Oryzias latipes: one gene and its partners. The protein of the gene in region 2 interacts with the protein of the main gene of each other region in a pairwise test. Links are inferred from orthologs where the notes say so. Each region holds a gene or a part of one and is shown on either strand. Other genes may lie near its edges.

What was found. The genes of interacting proteins can lie anywhere in the genome.
Region 1: the proteins of exoc7 (region 2) and prpf19 interact in a two-hybrid assay, tested with the Homo sapiens proteins (2 studies listed by BioGRID and IntAct, with this or other methods). The link is inferred for Oryzias latipes from reciprocal best matches to the Homo sapiens genes EXOC7 and PRPF19.
Region 3: the proteins of exoc7 (region 2) and ift20 interact in binary tests that used the Homo sapiens proteins (3 or more experiments, as listed by UniProt). The two-hybrid records come from large-scale screens. The link is inferred for Oryzias latipes from reciprocal best matches to the Homo sapiens genes EXOC7 and IFT20.

What each region holds. Positions count from the first base shown.
Region 1 is NC_019868.2:15,898,133-15,903,496, reverse strand, and holds the start of prpf19 (pre-mRNA-processing factor 19), read left to right. Parts: upstream 1-2,131; 5' UTR 2,132-2,295; coding exon 2,296-2,314; intron 2,315-2,531; coding exon 2,532-2,681; intron 2,682-3,587; coding exon 3,588-3,664; intron 3,665-3,928; coding exon 3,929-4,070; intron 4,071-4,186; coding exon 4,187-4,260; intron 4,261-4,362; coding exon 4,363-4,428; intron 4,429-4,530; coding exon 4,531-4,572; intron 4,573-4,662; coding exon 4,663-4,737; intron 4,738-4,825; coding exon 4,826-4,901; intron 4,902-5,364. Other genes in the region: uncharacterized protein LOC101174031, read left to right, coding at 830-931, 1,012-1,110, 1,219-1,434. UniProt on the Homo sapiens protein: Ubiquitin-protein ligase which is a core component of several complexes mainly involved pre-mRNA splicing and DNA repair. Required for pre-mRNA splicing as component of the spliceosome.
Region 2 is NC_019877.2:22,395,767-22,400,491, reverse strand, and holds part of exoc7 (exocyst complex component 7), read left to right. Parts: intron 1-60; coding exon 61-181; intron 182-2,265; coding exon 2,266-2,361; intron 2,362-2,441; coding exon 2,442-2,505; intron 2,506-3,471; coding exon 3,472-3,513; intron 3,514-3,582; coding exon 3,583-3,716; intron 3,717-4,660; coding exon 4,661-4,725. UniProt on the Homo sapiens protein: Component of the exocyst complex involved in the docking of exocytic vesicles with fusion sites on the plasma membrane.
Region 3 is NC_019871.2:17,866,348-17,871,760, forward strand, and holds the start of ift20 (intraflagellar transport protein 20 homolog), read left to right. Parts: upstream 1-2,180; 5' UTR 2,181-2,313; intron 2,314-3,250; exon of another isoform or gene 3,251-3,364; intron 3,365-4,277; 5' UTR 4,278-4,285; coding exon 4,286-4,412; intron 4,413-4,480; coding exon 4,481-4,566; intron 4,567-5,000; coding exon 5,001-5,104; intron 5,105-5,184; coding exon 5,185-5,266; 3' UTR 5,267-5,413. UniProt on the Homo sapiens protein: Part of intraflagellar transport (IFT) particles involved in ciliary process assembly. May play a role in the trafficking of ciliary membrane proteins from the Golgi complex to the cilium.

The sequences.
Region 1 (5,364 bases), on a different chromosome or scaffold from region 2:
AAGGATCTTATTCAGTGGAGAGCGGTCACGCCGCTAGGATCAGAAGTTTTCAAAATGTCTTTTATCGCAAAAATACCTTCCTCTTATGAACCACTTCTTTCCTCTTTTTGAATGAGCAGCGTCAGTGTCGAGGTTAGCTGTTCTGTTGTAGAACGTCTTCTTTCACTTCCAGAAATGTATCTTTAGAACCTGAAACAATCATTCATGAAACCAAGCAGCAAAAATAAATCTTGGATCTTTTTATCATTTTGAAATGCACCCCCCCCCCCCACGCACACACAAATGTTGATTTTTCAAAACAAATTAACTTGCTTCTTTTGTTTCTTTCCTCCATTTAAAATTCAACAATGACGAGATGTCCTAAACGTTCAATTTGATTGAAACATTCTCCAACCTGTATTATAATTATTTTCCAGCTGAATAAGATGACATGGAACATGTATCAAGAATTTAATTATCAAGACTTTTGGGCGGCAGTTTAGCTCAGGCAGTAGAGCAGGTCGTCCATTAACCGCAGGGTTGGTGGATCAATCCCAGCTGTTGCCCCCCGAGCGTGGCTAGTCTGCAGCTCACCGCTCCCCCCATGGGATGGGTCAAAATGCAGAGAAAAACTTCCCCATGGTGGGATAAATAAAGTGTTAATTTTAAACATTTAGAAGCTCCGAAATAGTTGTGCAACCTTTACCAGTAGTGGTGGAGGTTAAAATATGTGTCTGTTGTGTCTCCAACCTTTGAAATGCAAAGTTTTGCACCTGTATGTATGGGAAGGAAAAATTTTAAGAGTCCTATCTAGTGTAACTTTGTGCTGAATTATTGTTTGTCACTGCAGGACTACAGTCACACCCATCCACACCCTGCAGCTTATTACAGTTACCCTGAGCATCCTGGAACACCAAGAAAGTGGAGCCCAAGAGCGAGCCCTGCTCACACTGTAAGACCAATGAACGGAATCACAGAAGCCTAAACAGCTGAATAGAACTGAGTGTTTGAACATGTGGGTTTCATTTCTAGGATTACACTCCTGTCACGATAGGGGAACCAAGTTCTGAAAACCAGCAAGTACAGCAACGGACAGCTGGGGTCTCGCCCAGGCATGACAGAAGCACTGAGGTAAAACTCTGTCAGCCTTTTTTGGCTCATGTTGACATAAAATCAAAAGAAATAAAAACTACCCATGTGCCCCCCCCCCCCACCCCCCACCCCCTGAATTCCCTCTAGGAGAACAAAGTGAATGAGAATGAAGAGAAGATTTCCTTTCCTGTGCCTGGAGCAACAGACTGCCTCCACTCCTCTGAGGACTGCGCTCAGTACCAGATTAAGAAGGATGGAGATGAAAAAAGGTGGAGCTCAGAGTTCTTTTCAACATTGCCACTGGACACAGACACCTCTGAATCCTGCAGCGTTTACACGTCAGAGAAACTGGACTTTTTATAAAACAGGTGCCAAAATGAGAAAAGAAGGACATTATAGAATGAACAAATAACAGTGAAGGACATTACTCAATGCAAGTTACAGTTCAAAATATTTTGGTAAACATAATCTTTGGATGCATGAATTTAGCATTGCATTTTCTGTCTCATGTTGCAGTGGTGGATTGTACTCTTAAGATCTCTTGCTGTTACCTACCTCCAGACCCTCAGGGCCACTGTTATCTGCACTGTGTTTACTGAGTGTCACCCTGTTTGCAAGTGTTGTATTATTTCTAGAGCTGCATAGAGTATTGACACTAAATATATATATTTCATACTCACTTAAACATTCTTCCACAGTGTTAATACATTTATAACCCAAACAACAATTATTGAATTAGTTATGATCTTATCTGTAACAGTGTAGTATTTGTTGCAGGTGTCATTCCTTTCAACTCAATGCAACTGTAAAGTGCTGTGAAATGTGCTTTTCCATTTGGTCTGCTAACCTTTGAACTTCATGAACAAAACATAAAATATTTCTATAACAAAAATTTAAAATAAACACGTGGTAAACAATAAATCCGTTTTATCTAAACACACGTAATCCAATTTTTAGTTTCAGATTACTAGTTTCCTGCTAGACACAGTAATCCAACGCATTGTTCATTTTAAGCACTAGGGGGCAGTGTGGAGACAACGTTCGAATTGCGTTTAGCAGACATTTCACGAAGAAGAAGAAGCTGGCTCATTTTATTGAGGCTATGAAAGGGCATAGCTTTTCTTAGTTTCAATTCAGTCATTATCGGTGCACACTAGCGAAACACAAGGTTGGAGTAAGCATATATTACTTTCCAGAGGAGACTATTTACACAGCGTTGGGAACATGTCTCTGGTTTGTGCAAGTAAGCTAAGTGAAAACCTTTGAAATGTGTGTGTTTAGCGAGGCGCCACGCAAATGCTACTAGTAACTAGCTAATGTAGCAGTTAGCGGCCATCAATGCCGCCTTTTATATGGAATTGCTTCCGTTCATTTTATGTTTGTTGCTTTTATTTACTTTTTAAAAAAGAATTTACTGATTTAGAATAGTCTTTCAAGCGGTTGCCACACCTTTATTTCAGTCTGCAACGAGGTTCCAGAGCACCCGTGCATCTCTCCGGTGTCCAACCATGTGTTCGAGCGCAGACTGATAGAGAAGTACATCGCTGAGAATGGGACGGACCCGATGAACGGACAGCCCCTGTCCGAGGAGCAGCTTGTGGATATCAAAGGTAAACGACACATCAGCCTATAATGGCGCAGGTTCAAGACCTTCGTCTTAAAAAGCAAATATCATTCATAACATATTGCATCTCTAAAGCACGTCAATTTACAAAATTTAAATAAATATATAAGAAAATTAAGCAAAGAAACAACGAATTTATGAAACCAAAACTATTGGAAAAACAATTTTTCACAAAGTATTTAAAAAAAAATGCCAGAAAGTTGATCAAAAAACAGCAGTAACAAATGGTGTGGGGGGGAAAAGTACTTTTTTGTTGTTTTTAAAAAATAGAGAAGGTCATAATAACATATTTATTAAATATCTATAGTAAAAAAACAAAAACTAATACACTGACACACACGCCTAACCTAAAAATATTGTTGTAGTATATTTGCAACACTTAATTAGTGGGCCTATAATCATGCTTTTCTTAAGCATTTCAGAGTAAACTATATCCATATAAATGACATATATTACCTTTGGAACACTAAAGAACAAATTATTTATGAAATATTAGTTATTTCAGCTCCTTTTCCTACCTGGAGGTAAGACTTTCGATCTCTGAGGCACTGGCTTTCGCTCCTTCCTTGTGGTTGCCGCCCATTTCATTTTGTTAACTTAGAGCTGGCCTCGCCAGTGTGTCTGCGTTTCGCCCACAAAAACAAACAAAATCCAAACTTGTAAAGATGGATGTATTGTGCATATAAAAGGTGGTTTGGGGGGTCTGGGTTTAGAGGAATGCTCAGAGCTTCGTCAATGGATCAAAATATGGCTTTGGGGTCGTTTTTCTTGAGGGCTTAACATTATGATTCACTTAAAGCTCAAAAAGTTGATTTTGCATGATAAGAAAACCTAATGTGGATACAGTGATTCTATACGGCTTTAGAAAATGTCTGCTTTAATTTCTTTGTAGTTACTCATCCTATTCGACCAAAGGCTCCATCTGCTACTAGCATTCCTGCCATTCTCAAGTCACTTCAAGACGAGTGGGTAAGTAGCATCAACGTATACAATGTTTTTAGTCATTAAAATATGAATAACAGTTCATTTTTACAATTGTGGCAGAATGGGATCATATCTTGTCAGTGGAATTGTCATTATTTAATGAAGAATGTGTTTTGGTCAAACAAAACGTCATGATCTGCGTTTGATGTGATGGGTTCCTTCTGGAATCCGCTTTTCAAAACGACCCGAAGTGGATTTTGAGAGATTCTCTGGTAAAAGTAACCTGACCCATTTTCTTTTGTGAATTAGGATGCTGTGATGCTTCATAGTTTCACCTTGAGGCAGCAGCTGCAGACGACTCGCCAAGAACTCTCTCATGCCCTTTACCAGCACGATGCCGCCTGCAGAGTCATCGCCCGCCTCAACAAAGAGGTCACTGCTGCAAGAGAAGGTCAGTGAAGTTTGCGTCAAATGCTATCTTACAAAGTGATTTTGAATGAAGAGTGTGTTTTGTTTATTCATAATTGGGGTTGTCTAATTGGCTCATTTGTTTGTCTTTTTTTCCAGCTCTTGCTACACTTAAACCCCAAGCTGGACTGGTGGCCCCTCAAGCAGTCCCTGCCTCTCAGCCAGCTGCTGCAGTAAAATTTGATTTATTTATTGAATTATTTTCCTTTAAAAAAAAGGCTTTGTATTGACTTTCATAACTCATCTGTCTAATAACTGTCAATATTGTGTTTCAGGGTGCTGGTGGAGAACCCATGGAGATCAGTGAACAGGTGGGAATGACCCCAGAGATCATTCAGAAGGTACGGCTTTCTTTAGTTTTAAAAACCATTCTACTTTGTAAAGTTTGTTTGTAGAAAGATTTTGTTCCTTTGGTCTATTTGACTGTTGTTGTGTGTTTGCAGCTTCAAGACAAGGCGACCATCCTCACCACAGAGAGAAAGAAGGTGCAGTATTGACTACAACCTAACAGTTTGTGGAGTCTTTATCTGTCTTGGTAGCGCCCAGTTCACCCTGTGTTTTTTTTTTATCTACAGAGAGGAAAAACTGTTCCAGAGGATTTGGTCAGAGCTGAAGATCTCAGCAAGTACCGCCAAGTTGCTTCCCACGCTGTAAGAAGAGATTCTGGAGAATCCAGAGGATGTAACTTTTTGTTTGGATTGCTTCATATTTGTGGTGTGACTTTGATATTTCCTGTAGGGTCTGCATAGTGCCAGTGTGCCTGGTATTCTGGCTCTGGATGTGTGTCCCTCTGACACCAACAAAGTGCTCACAGGTAAAGTGTCATTATTTTAATGTTGATTTAGTTTTAGGTGATTTTGTGTGCTTTTGTTTTGACTTTATGAAAACTGGCTGTTTAAGGTGCAGCGTTGTGAGTTTCACTCTTGTGCTGCTGCTTCTCCCTGACTGAAGCCTTTTTTCAGCACAGCACCCAGGAGAGACTTGAATTCAAAAGCTGAAAGGTGCAAGTGGAGCATCAGTGCTTTGTTTATAACAGGAGTTGCATTTTAAAAAATAACCCACAATATGTGAGATCTACAAAGTACTGGTATTCTTTTTTTTTTTTTTTTTTATGGGGGTGCCCACATTTTCTTTTTGGCAGGCAAGCTACTTTTGAGACGACAAGCTCCAAAAGAATTACCTACAGTATTTTGAGCTGAGAACCAGTGCAGTATTTTGTCTAAAATACTGTTTATGTACTAAAAATTCAAAAGCTACAGAGTAAGAGTATGCACATC
Region 2 (4,725 bases):
CCCCGTCACGGTGAGATGAGACGCTCCTCAAACTGACCATCTCTCTCTGTCGTTCTCCAGGTAAAGTTTTGGGAAACCTCCAGTTAAACCTGCTCAGTAAATCCAAAGTGTATGAGGATTCAGCCCTGAGTGCCATTTTCCTTCACAACAACTATAACTACATCCTCAAGTCTCTGGAGAAGTCAGTGCCTCTTCTACAGCCCCATCAATGCAGACTCTTTTTTTTTGACAGACTAACAAAAGAATCTTATTTTAAATGGTGGCCTGGCAAAATGCAAGATAAGGATAATTAGAGTATGGGATAAAATTGTGGGGGATGTGACTAACGGTTCCTGATAATTCAGTTTTACGGTGGCCGACACGGCTCACACTACATGCAGAAGGAACAACACAACAGCATGAAACGGAACACAACAGAAGTAGAATACTACAGAAATGAGGAAAAAAATAATTCAGTTTCAACACCTCCACGCTTCTTGAATGGTGCGTGATATTTGTACTAGATGACGCAATTTCCTATTAGATAACGTGATTTCTTACAAGCTAGCTTGATTTCTTATGAGATGACGTGATTTCTTGCTAGATAACAGGATTTCTTATTAGATAACTTAATTCTTACCAGATAACGTGATTTCTTACTAGATAATGTAATTTTTTACCAAATAACGTAATTTCTTACTAGATAACGTGATTATTACTAGATAGTGTAATTTCTCGTTAGATAACGTAATTTCTTATTAGATAGCATGATTTCTTACTAGAAAGCGTGATTTCTGATTAGATAACGTAATTTCTTACGAGATAACGTAATTTCTTACGAGATAACGTGATTTCTTACCAATTAGCGGGATTTCTTACTAGATAACGTAATTTCTTACAAAATAACGTAATTTCTTATTAGATAACCTGATTTCTTACAAGCTAGCGTGATTTCTTATGAGATGACGTGATTTCTTACTAGATAACGGGATTTCTTATTAGATAACTTAATTCTTACCAGATAACGTGATTTCTTACTACATAATGTAATTTTTTACAAAATGACGTAATTTCTTACTAGATTACGTGATTATTACTAGATAGTGTAATTTTTCGTTAGATAACGTGATTTCTTATTAGATAACGTGATTTCTTATTAGATAACGTAATTTCTTATTAGATAGCATGATTTCTTACTAGAAAGCGTGATTTCTTATTAGATAACGTAATTTCTTACGAGATAACGTGATTTCTTACTATAAAATGAAATTTCTTACAAAATAACGTAATTTCTTATTAGATAACATGATTTCTTACCAATTAGCGTGATTTCTTTCTAGATAATGTAATTTCTTACAAAATAACGTAATTTCTTATTAGATAACATGATTTCTTACCAATTAGCGTGATTTCTTTCTAGATAATGTAATTTCTTACAAAATAACGTAATTTCTTATTAGATAACTTGTTTTCTTACTAGATAACGTGATTATTACTAGATAACGTAATTTTTCAATTAGATAACGTAAATTAATACGAGATAAAGTTGTTTCTTATGAGATAAAGTGATTTCTTACTAGATAATGTGATTTCTTATTAGATAACTTAATTTCTCACTAGAAAACGTGATTTCTTACTAGATAGCGTGATTTCTTACCAAATTACGTATTTCCTTACCATATAATGTAATTTCTTACCAAATAACGTAATTTCTTATTAGATAACGTGTTTTCTTACTAGATAACGTGATTATTACTAGATAACGTAGTTTCTCAATTAGATAACGTAATTTCTCATTAGATAACGTAAATTATTACGAGATAAAGTTGTTTCTTATGAGATAGTGATTTCTTACTAGATAACGTAATTTCTTACGAGATAACGTAATTTTTGACGAGATAACGTAAATTCTTACTAGTGTTAGATGAAAAGTGTTAGATTTATATGTTACTATGTGGAAAGCTGGCTAAATTTACATTTTCTTTTTTTTTTTTTTTAAATAGCTTGAAACACGATTATTTTCTTTTTTACCACTTCCGTTCTGGGAAAATGGAGTTCAGTGCACAACCAAACACTGTCCTGGAGCTGAAGAAACCTGTTTCTCACAAAGTCAGACCCTCAGGCTGGGGACACTGCAGCTGACTAGGAGAGCTGAAAATCTGCTGCTGTGGGTCCGCTGGGATCTGTAAAAACAGCCACAGCCCCTGCAGTAGCTGGAAGCTGGTGGTTCTGTGCTTCAGCTGGAAGGCTGGGTTTGATTATTCCTCATCTGTCACCAAACTGCAGGTCTGAGTTGATCCAGCTGGTCACCGTGACTCAGAAGAGAGCCGAGGCCTCCTACAAAGAGCTGATACAACAGCAGATCGAGTTCTACCAGCGCAGGTAAACTCAAAACTCAGCTGTTGTCAAGATTTCAGTGTCCTGCCTTCTGCTGACTTAACCAACACGTCTGTCTGCCACAGCTGGCTGAAGGTCACAGAGCACCTGACGGACCGCAACATGCCCGTCCTCCAGCCCGGCATGAAGGTCAGAAACCGCTAGCGACGGCAGCACTGGGGCAGTTAGCTTCAGGTCGTTGTAAAGGGTTAGCGCTTCTCTTTTGTGGGGGTGGGAAGTCACAAAGCAACAGCACTGGATGGCTTTATCTGGTCTCTAGTCCCAGTGTGGAGTCATGAACTCCCACATAAATCCTTTTTAATCCCCCTAAAATCTGGAAAGTCCCGTCTCAGCGGGACAGAAATCAGCTCTCAAATGACTTCAAGATTAGACTTCTGTGATACTTCATTATCAGGCTGGAGGGGATGCAAAGTCCTGCAGCGGAGTTCTGGTGGGGGAGATCATTTACATTCATTATTAGCTTCTCCTCTTAAAGTAAATCAGCGTCTAGGGTTTTACTGCCATGGAACGTTTTTTTGGTCACAGTTCCATGTTTTTCAAAGTTCTTTTGGTTCTTTCTCTGAACTGTTATAGTCTGCAGATCTTTTACCAGTTAAAGAAGCATCTCTGCCTTCAGGTTTATGCTCTAAATAAGGAGTTTTAACAAACATTGTTTTTTAATGTTTTTCTTGGATTTCGGCAGTGATTTGGGACAGCTGCATCGTACCTCAACAACATTCCAAAAATGGGACAAAGTAACTTAAGGATTTAGTCAACTCCACCCATGGGTGTCCCTAATTCCCAACTAAAACTGAAGAAACTACCTTCAAGGTTTTCATAAATTGAAAGCAAAGCAATAAACTGTCACCATGAGGCTCGGTTAGCACGTTAGCACGTCAGGACTGGATTTGCTTCCGTTGAACTGGGCTAATTAAGTATAGCAGGCCCTGCTGAAAACCTGTTTTTAGGTCTTTTTATACAAGCAGTTGCTTTGGTACACTCTCAAACGTTTAATTTGAAACCAGTCCAGACCCGATGCTGGTATACAATCGTGGTTTCATGTGAACAGCCATCATGTACACTCTGTAACCCTTTAAACGCTTTCTCCTCCTTCAGCTGAAAGATAAAGAGCGGCAAGTGATTAAAGAGAAGTTCAAGGTAAGGAGTTTAAAGTATGGCAGAGCAAAAACAGCTCTGAGCTGCAGCTCTGACCAGAGAGTCTCTTAGGGCTTCAACGATGGTTTGGAGGAGCTGTGTAAGATCCAGAAGGGTTGGGCCATCCCAGACAAAGATCAGCGAGACTTCATCCGGCAAGCTCAGAAGACAGCGGTGTCGGATGCTTACAGAGTCTTCCTGCAGAGGTGAGGGACACATCCCAGCAGCAGTCTCATCTGTGGCGGTGTTGCACTACGTACACACTGGTGCGTTCCGCGTCCCCTTGAACGCACCACACAAGCCGGGTGCCTTGTGTTCTACAAGGCCCTGAAAGCGTTTTTAGCAGACGGTGTTCACACCGGTCTGTTGCTACCCGATACGAACGCATGAACGTACAGCCGGAAGAGGTTGTGTCTGAATGCGAAAAACCAGTTCGCATCTATGCTCACTAGATCTGCGAATATAGACCACAATGCATTGCAACATAAAAATTTTTGCCAAAAAATGTATTTAAATGTATTTTTTTGATAAACCATCAACGTTTTTATCTTCAGAAGACAGTGGACTCATAAATAATCGTCCCAAAACGCTCATTTTAATTAGATTTTAACTTTGTGAAATCGATGATTTCATATTCGCCGTGAAAAAGAATAAAAGTCGTGAGCGTGGCGTCTGAATTGCTTTTAAAATCCAGGACAATAGATAGTGCCACTATCTAGTTTTTTAGTATTTATGGGTCAGGGTGGGAACTTTGGTGTCATAGTTGATTCATTTCTCCTTCATGGTCAATTTTCAAACGGTTCTCACTTCTGTGTTTTGACAAGGACGACATCCATACGTCGCTCCCAGACAGAGTCCCTGATTGGTCAACTAGTTCACCTTTGAGCGCACGTTCAACGGACGCGCATTAGGTACAGAAAGCCTGAAAACAGGCGTAAAAACTCGAAAGAATTTTGAATGTAGAAGCCGAAATGTGGACTTTCTATCGGACGCGGTCCCTTGAAAGGGCGTTTCCGAGCCGGGTGGGAACGTAGCGCAACACTGTTTTTCTGCTCCATCATATTTGATTTAAATCTGTCAAGGAAAGAAGTTGGATAAGCCTAAAATAGTGTGTGTGAGCCACAGCCGCTATCTATCAACTGTTTTCCAGATGTACCAACATTTCCTTCACCAAGAACCCTGAGAAGTACCACAAGTACCGGCCAGAAGAGGTGG
Region 3 (5,413 bases), on a different chromosome or scaffold from region 2:
ATTGGTTGGACAGAGACACTTAAACCTTTATTCTTTAAGTAAATAAGACACAAAAACTGAATGATATATGAAAGACTTGCTGTCACATAATTCCAGCACAATTATTAATCTCTCTTCCGTGATCAATTTTTAAACTGTAGGAACTTCTGTAAATTGGAAAGGATGCCATCTATACATCACTACCAAAAGTAGATCCCTGAGTGGTCAAAGTTCAACTGGTTTAACTTTCAACGCAAGTCCAATGGCCACATGTTTTGTACGTAGAGCCCAAAAATGGTCTTAAAATGTGCGTAGCTACGTGTGAACGCGAGAGTTTTGACCAAGGAAGCCTGAAATGCACATTCCATATGCAGTACATATATGTAAACAAGTCTACAGACGCGTCTGGACTTTTCATTGAAAGTGCTTGAAGGTACGTTGCTGAGGGTGGTGTGAAGGTATATTTATACATTCATAGTTCAAATGTGGAAAACAGAGGTACCGGGACCAGCAGGCCTTTGTACTTCTCATAGTAATGCATCTCCAAAGGAAGCGGTTAGGCAGAGATTTTTACACCGGATGCCCTTATTGATACAAGCCTATACATAGATAGGAAGTAGCAAAGAGGGTCTAGCACTCATCCAAGAGTTTTTCCCAAGGATCCAAGGACTGGATGAAGCTCTTCGCCCCCCCCCCCCCCCCCCCCCCCCCCCCCCCCCCCTGGTTTCCCAGGTGCCAGTGCTGCATGCAGGCAACTGAGCCATCCCTCCTATACAGAGACGGAGAGCTATATCTGGGTGGAGGTTTAGTGAAGGTAGTGGAAGTCCATGTGGGTGATTATGTACCTGGAGGAGTTTAGAGGCTGGGTACTTCAGCTTTTAGGCAACAGTGCCAATAAAGTCCAGGTAAGAACAAACCAGGTAAATCGTCCACCAATCCACACCATGAGATAATCCAGTGCAGAGCAGTAATAACAATAAAAACAAAAAATCTAACAGTGAGCAGCAGCTACAAGACATATCAGGATGAAAGCTTCCTGATCTATCTGAGAAGCCTCCAACTACATTGACATGAACCTGAGCCAGCTTCACAATCCGCCTCAGCTGAGCATGTTTGTAGCTATTAACAACTCCAGCAGCACTCAGTAGTTCTCCGATTCCCCCCCCCCCCCCCCAGCCATAAAACTCCTCCATGTTTTCCATGAAAGGCCTAATTAACAAATGCATAATTTTTTTTTCTATCTCCTGCAGTGGAAGTCTCAGAGAAGAACTAGGGGATGAACAGATACAGGATGAAAGGTTTTGACGGAAAGGTGTAATATCTGAGTAATGCTGCAAAAAGGGGACTTTTGGGACAGTGTTCTTTAATAAAGCGTTTAAATGATACTGATAGTTGTTGATCTGATTTTCTAGTTTTTTCCTGCTTAAGAAAGTTTTTTATGCAGGAAAACATACTCTGAATGGGATATATTTTTTCTTTAGTGTTTGTATTAGTTTTAAATTTAACACAGCCCATAAACACCTTGATAAAAATCTACGATTTTAAGGTATGTACTACTGATGAAAGCATGTGTGCATCCTCTTTGTATGTTACACTTGTATTGATTTTGTGTCATATCTTGCATGTGACAAATTTGCAATTGGTCAAGAAGGGGAAAAGAGAGATGTCAGTTGTGCATTTTTTCCAAAAAAAAACATAAAACAGTATTCCATGCTTTCATTACATCCCCGTTGGATCACTGTAACAATGTATCTCAGGCAGATGGGCTCCCCTCTGGCGCCTCCAGCTGGTCTAGATAGCTGCTGCTCATTTCCACTTGAAGTTTCAGTGAAGCCACATCATCCATGTCTGTACATTTTAAAGTGTTCTTATGAGTGAACGAAAATGTCTTTTAAAAAATGTCTTATCATCTCAATTCATAAAGAACTAGTTGGTTCTTTGAGCTTATCTCTTCATCCAGTCATGACGTTTGAACTTGCGAAAGGAACCAGACTTGTCTAAACTTCTACCGCTGGGTGGGTCTACCTACTGGGGTGTTTAGCCTAACCTGGTTTAACTATGAGGATGAACCTGATGATTGCACGCGCACATGGTGGCTTTAAAACTGACTGTAAATTGATTCTTGTTTTTAAATGAACGATAATATCAGAAACACGTGAAAAAGACTTCTCGAGAATGTGTACCACCAGAGGTCGGCGGTAAGCTAGTGCGCACGCGTAGTGGCGCTTTGTGCGGTTGCCTTGGTAGCAGGAGGAGGAAGAGGCGGAACGTCTTAGTAGGACCCCTTATGAGGAGGACCGGAGCCGTGCAGAGTAACGTCAGGGGTTTATTAAGGTGAGTGTCCGTTTCCACAACCAAAGTTTAGTTTACTATTCTTTACGAATGGTTAACGGAGGCTAACAGCTGTTAATTTGTCATCTCCTACGTATTAGCTCGTTAGCTGTTAGCCGCAAAAAATCGAAGAGGGGAAAAAAAGATGGTTGAGAGGTTCATACAACGTGTACAAACACTTCTGCCAAAGTCTGAGACTGTGGAGCTCCAAGTTTAGAGGCATTTTTTGAGGTCGCCGGGACAGAAAAACTCAACGTTCTTGTTTACTCAGATCTAGTCTGAGTTTGTTGCTTATTTATTCATTTATTTTTGACGTATTTTCTTACTGTAGTGTAGAAAATCGATGCTTGTGACGTCACCCATAGATTTTTTTTTAAAGAAAACTTTATTATCTAAAATACACAAACAATGTGTGCAGATTAGTCACCAAAACAATTCTTGTGGCATGGATTACAGCTTTGAACGGCGCGATAATCATTTAACGTGGTTAAAAACATGAAGGGGGGTTGTTTAGGTGTAAATGTAGAAATTAAAATAAATAATCTTCATTCATTGAATTGGTGCTAAATGGACTAAGATTCACAATAAAGATGAAAACAATTTGTACAGTAACACTACCCCCCCCCCCCCCCCCCGAAACCAGGAAGTACCCAACACTGCAGTGCTATGAAAGACCGCTGGAGGCAGCATTTCACTAATTTTAATGTTTAAAAGTCTAGCCCAGCTCAAAAACTAAACAATGTATATTTTGTTTCTGACGCTTTTTGGATGTAGAGAGGGTATAACAGAGCCACACAATTACGCAAACTGCCACAAACACTTCATTATTATTGTTATTATTATTATTAATCAGATTAATCCATCCTGAACTCATCTGTTCAGGGGGGATGGAGGTTGGACTGCACCAAGGATCAGCTTTAATCCTTTTTGTTTGCTGTAGTGCTAGACAGACTGACAGAAGGACTGACAGGAATCTCTGTGGAGCGTGATGTCTGCAGATGACCTGTGGATCTGTAGTGAGCGCAGGGAGCAGAAGGAGGAACACTTTAGAGAGGTAAAGGTTTGTTCAGGAAAGGAGAGGAATGAAGGTTAGCTCCAGAAAGACTGAATGTGTAAATGAGAGGAACTAAAGAGGAACGGTGAGGTTACAGGGAGCAGAGGAGAAGAAGGTGGAGGACTTTAAATACATAGCTCAGAGGTGAAGAGGCGTGTGGAAGCAAATTGGAATGGGTGTAATTTGTGTGTTATTTTTATTTGCTAAAACGTTATTTTTGTAAAAGCTTTTAAGCGCAATTTTAGAGTTTTGAATTTAAATAAACATCTGTTTATGCGGTTTCGGAATGTTGGACAGACATCTTCATTCCTCCATTTGTTTCTGAAAACTTTTAACACTGACTGAAGGTCTGTTCATAAGCTTCCAAGTACATAATACTATGGTAAATTATATTATTTTGTCCTACTGGACTGGACTAAAGTAATGCAGTTGCGGAATTTATCTGTTGTGTTAAAGAAATAGACAAGCCAAAATGCAAAGCTTTCAAATTACTTCTCAATCTTTGTCCTGTAAGGCAGTAATTGTATCTTTCTAAACTCCTGCTGGTTGTTAACAGTCCATAACTGGACTTGTGGCTGACGCTAGACATCACTGGACTGTATCAGCATGTTTGGTAACTCTGGTACGGTCAGTAAAGTATTATGGTGAATGGAAGAAACGGTAAGCATCAGTCCCAAGTCCTTCAGTGTCCGTTACATCCAAAAGGATAAAGTCAAATCTAGCCTACATACATTCATCCATATGTGAAACAACTCTTTATAATAATTTTTTCATTTTAAAAGATGTTTTTTTTCTTTTTAGACTTTATAAAGAGTGTTTATCATTGTGGATCAAACTCCTGCGTCTGTCAGGTGGTTAAACTGGTGCTGAGTGTTTGAGGAGTTTTGGAAATAACACAATATTTGACCCACAGGAGACTCCATGGCTAAAGATCCGTTGGCTGAAGCTGGCTTCCACTTTGACGAGGTAAACAAGCTGCGGGTTCTAGAGCCAGATGTGAGCCAGAGCACGGCGGAGCTGAAGGAGGAGTGCAGAGAGTTTGTGGACAGTAAGAATCCACGGATCTGTTGTCCACCCCGTCCCACCCAAAGCTCCTATAGGTCTGTGTCTCTGCAGAGATCGGACAATTCCAGAAGATTGTGGGCGGTCTCATCAGCACAGTGGACGGGTTGGCCAAGGAGGCGGAGACTGAAAAGATGAAGGTGAGGCTCCCCTCTTCTCAGGTTAGGTCAAAACCTACAGTTCATCAGTGTTGGCAGTTATAGTTACCCAGTACTTAATCCTATAAGTAATAGATTTAACCAGTTGAATTATTCTATAATAAAAGTAACCAATTTTAGCAGGAAAAAACTATTTACTTCACATTAAAGAAAAACTGTTTTTTGTAGATTTTTTGGACCAGTTTTAACAATTCAATTGGAATGAGTAAAATAGACCCAAACTTTTATTTAACATTATTTACATTGGAGGAACTCCAACACCTTCTGGTAAGCTGCCCAGTTTCCTCCTGACAGACATGTTGTGGTGGAAAAGCTGCTGGAGCTGCGTTTGATTTACTGTTTTTAGTTTATGTCAAACATTCAGTAACCCGATCAAACAAAAACTGCTCCTCATTGGCTGATATCACTTCCTGCAGGCCATTGGAGCCAGGAACCTTCTGACATCTGTGGCGAAGCAGAGGGAGGAGCATCAGCAGCTGCTAAAGGGTCTTATTGCTGAGAAGAAGATGCAGCTGGAGAGGTACCCCACCCCCCCCACCCCTCTAAATCCTGCAGGAGTGGCGTCCATGCTCCCTGCTAACAGCTGCTACTTTCTTTAAGGTACCGGGTGGAGTACGAAGCCCTTTCCCGGGTAGAGGCGGAGCAGAGCGAGTTCATCAACCAATTCATCCTGCAAAAGTGAGGCGGGACTCACCTGTCTGAGGCTGCTGCCTACAGCTTAAGCCACCCTGCTGTGGGGTCGGGGTGGTGGTGGTGGGAGGCTCCAGGACACCTTCCTGTTTGTCCCACATGTGTTGTCACACTGTGACCCCTCCACCCCCTTGCTCAG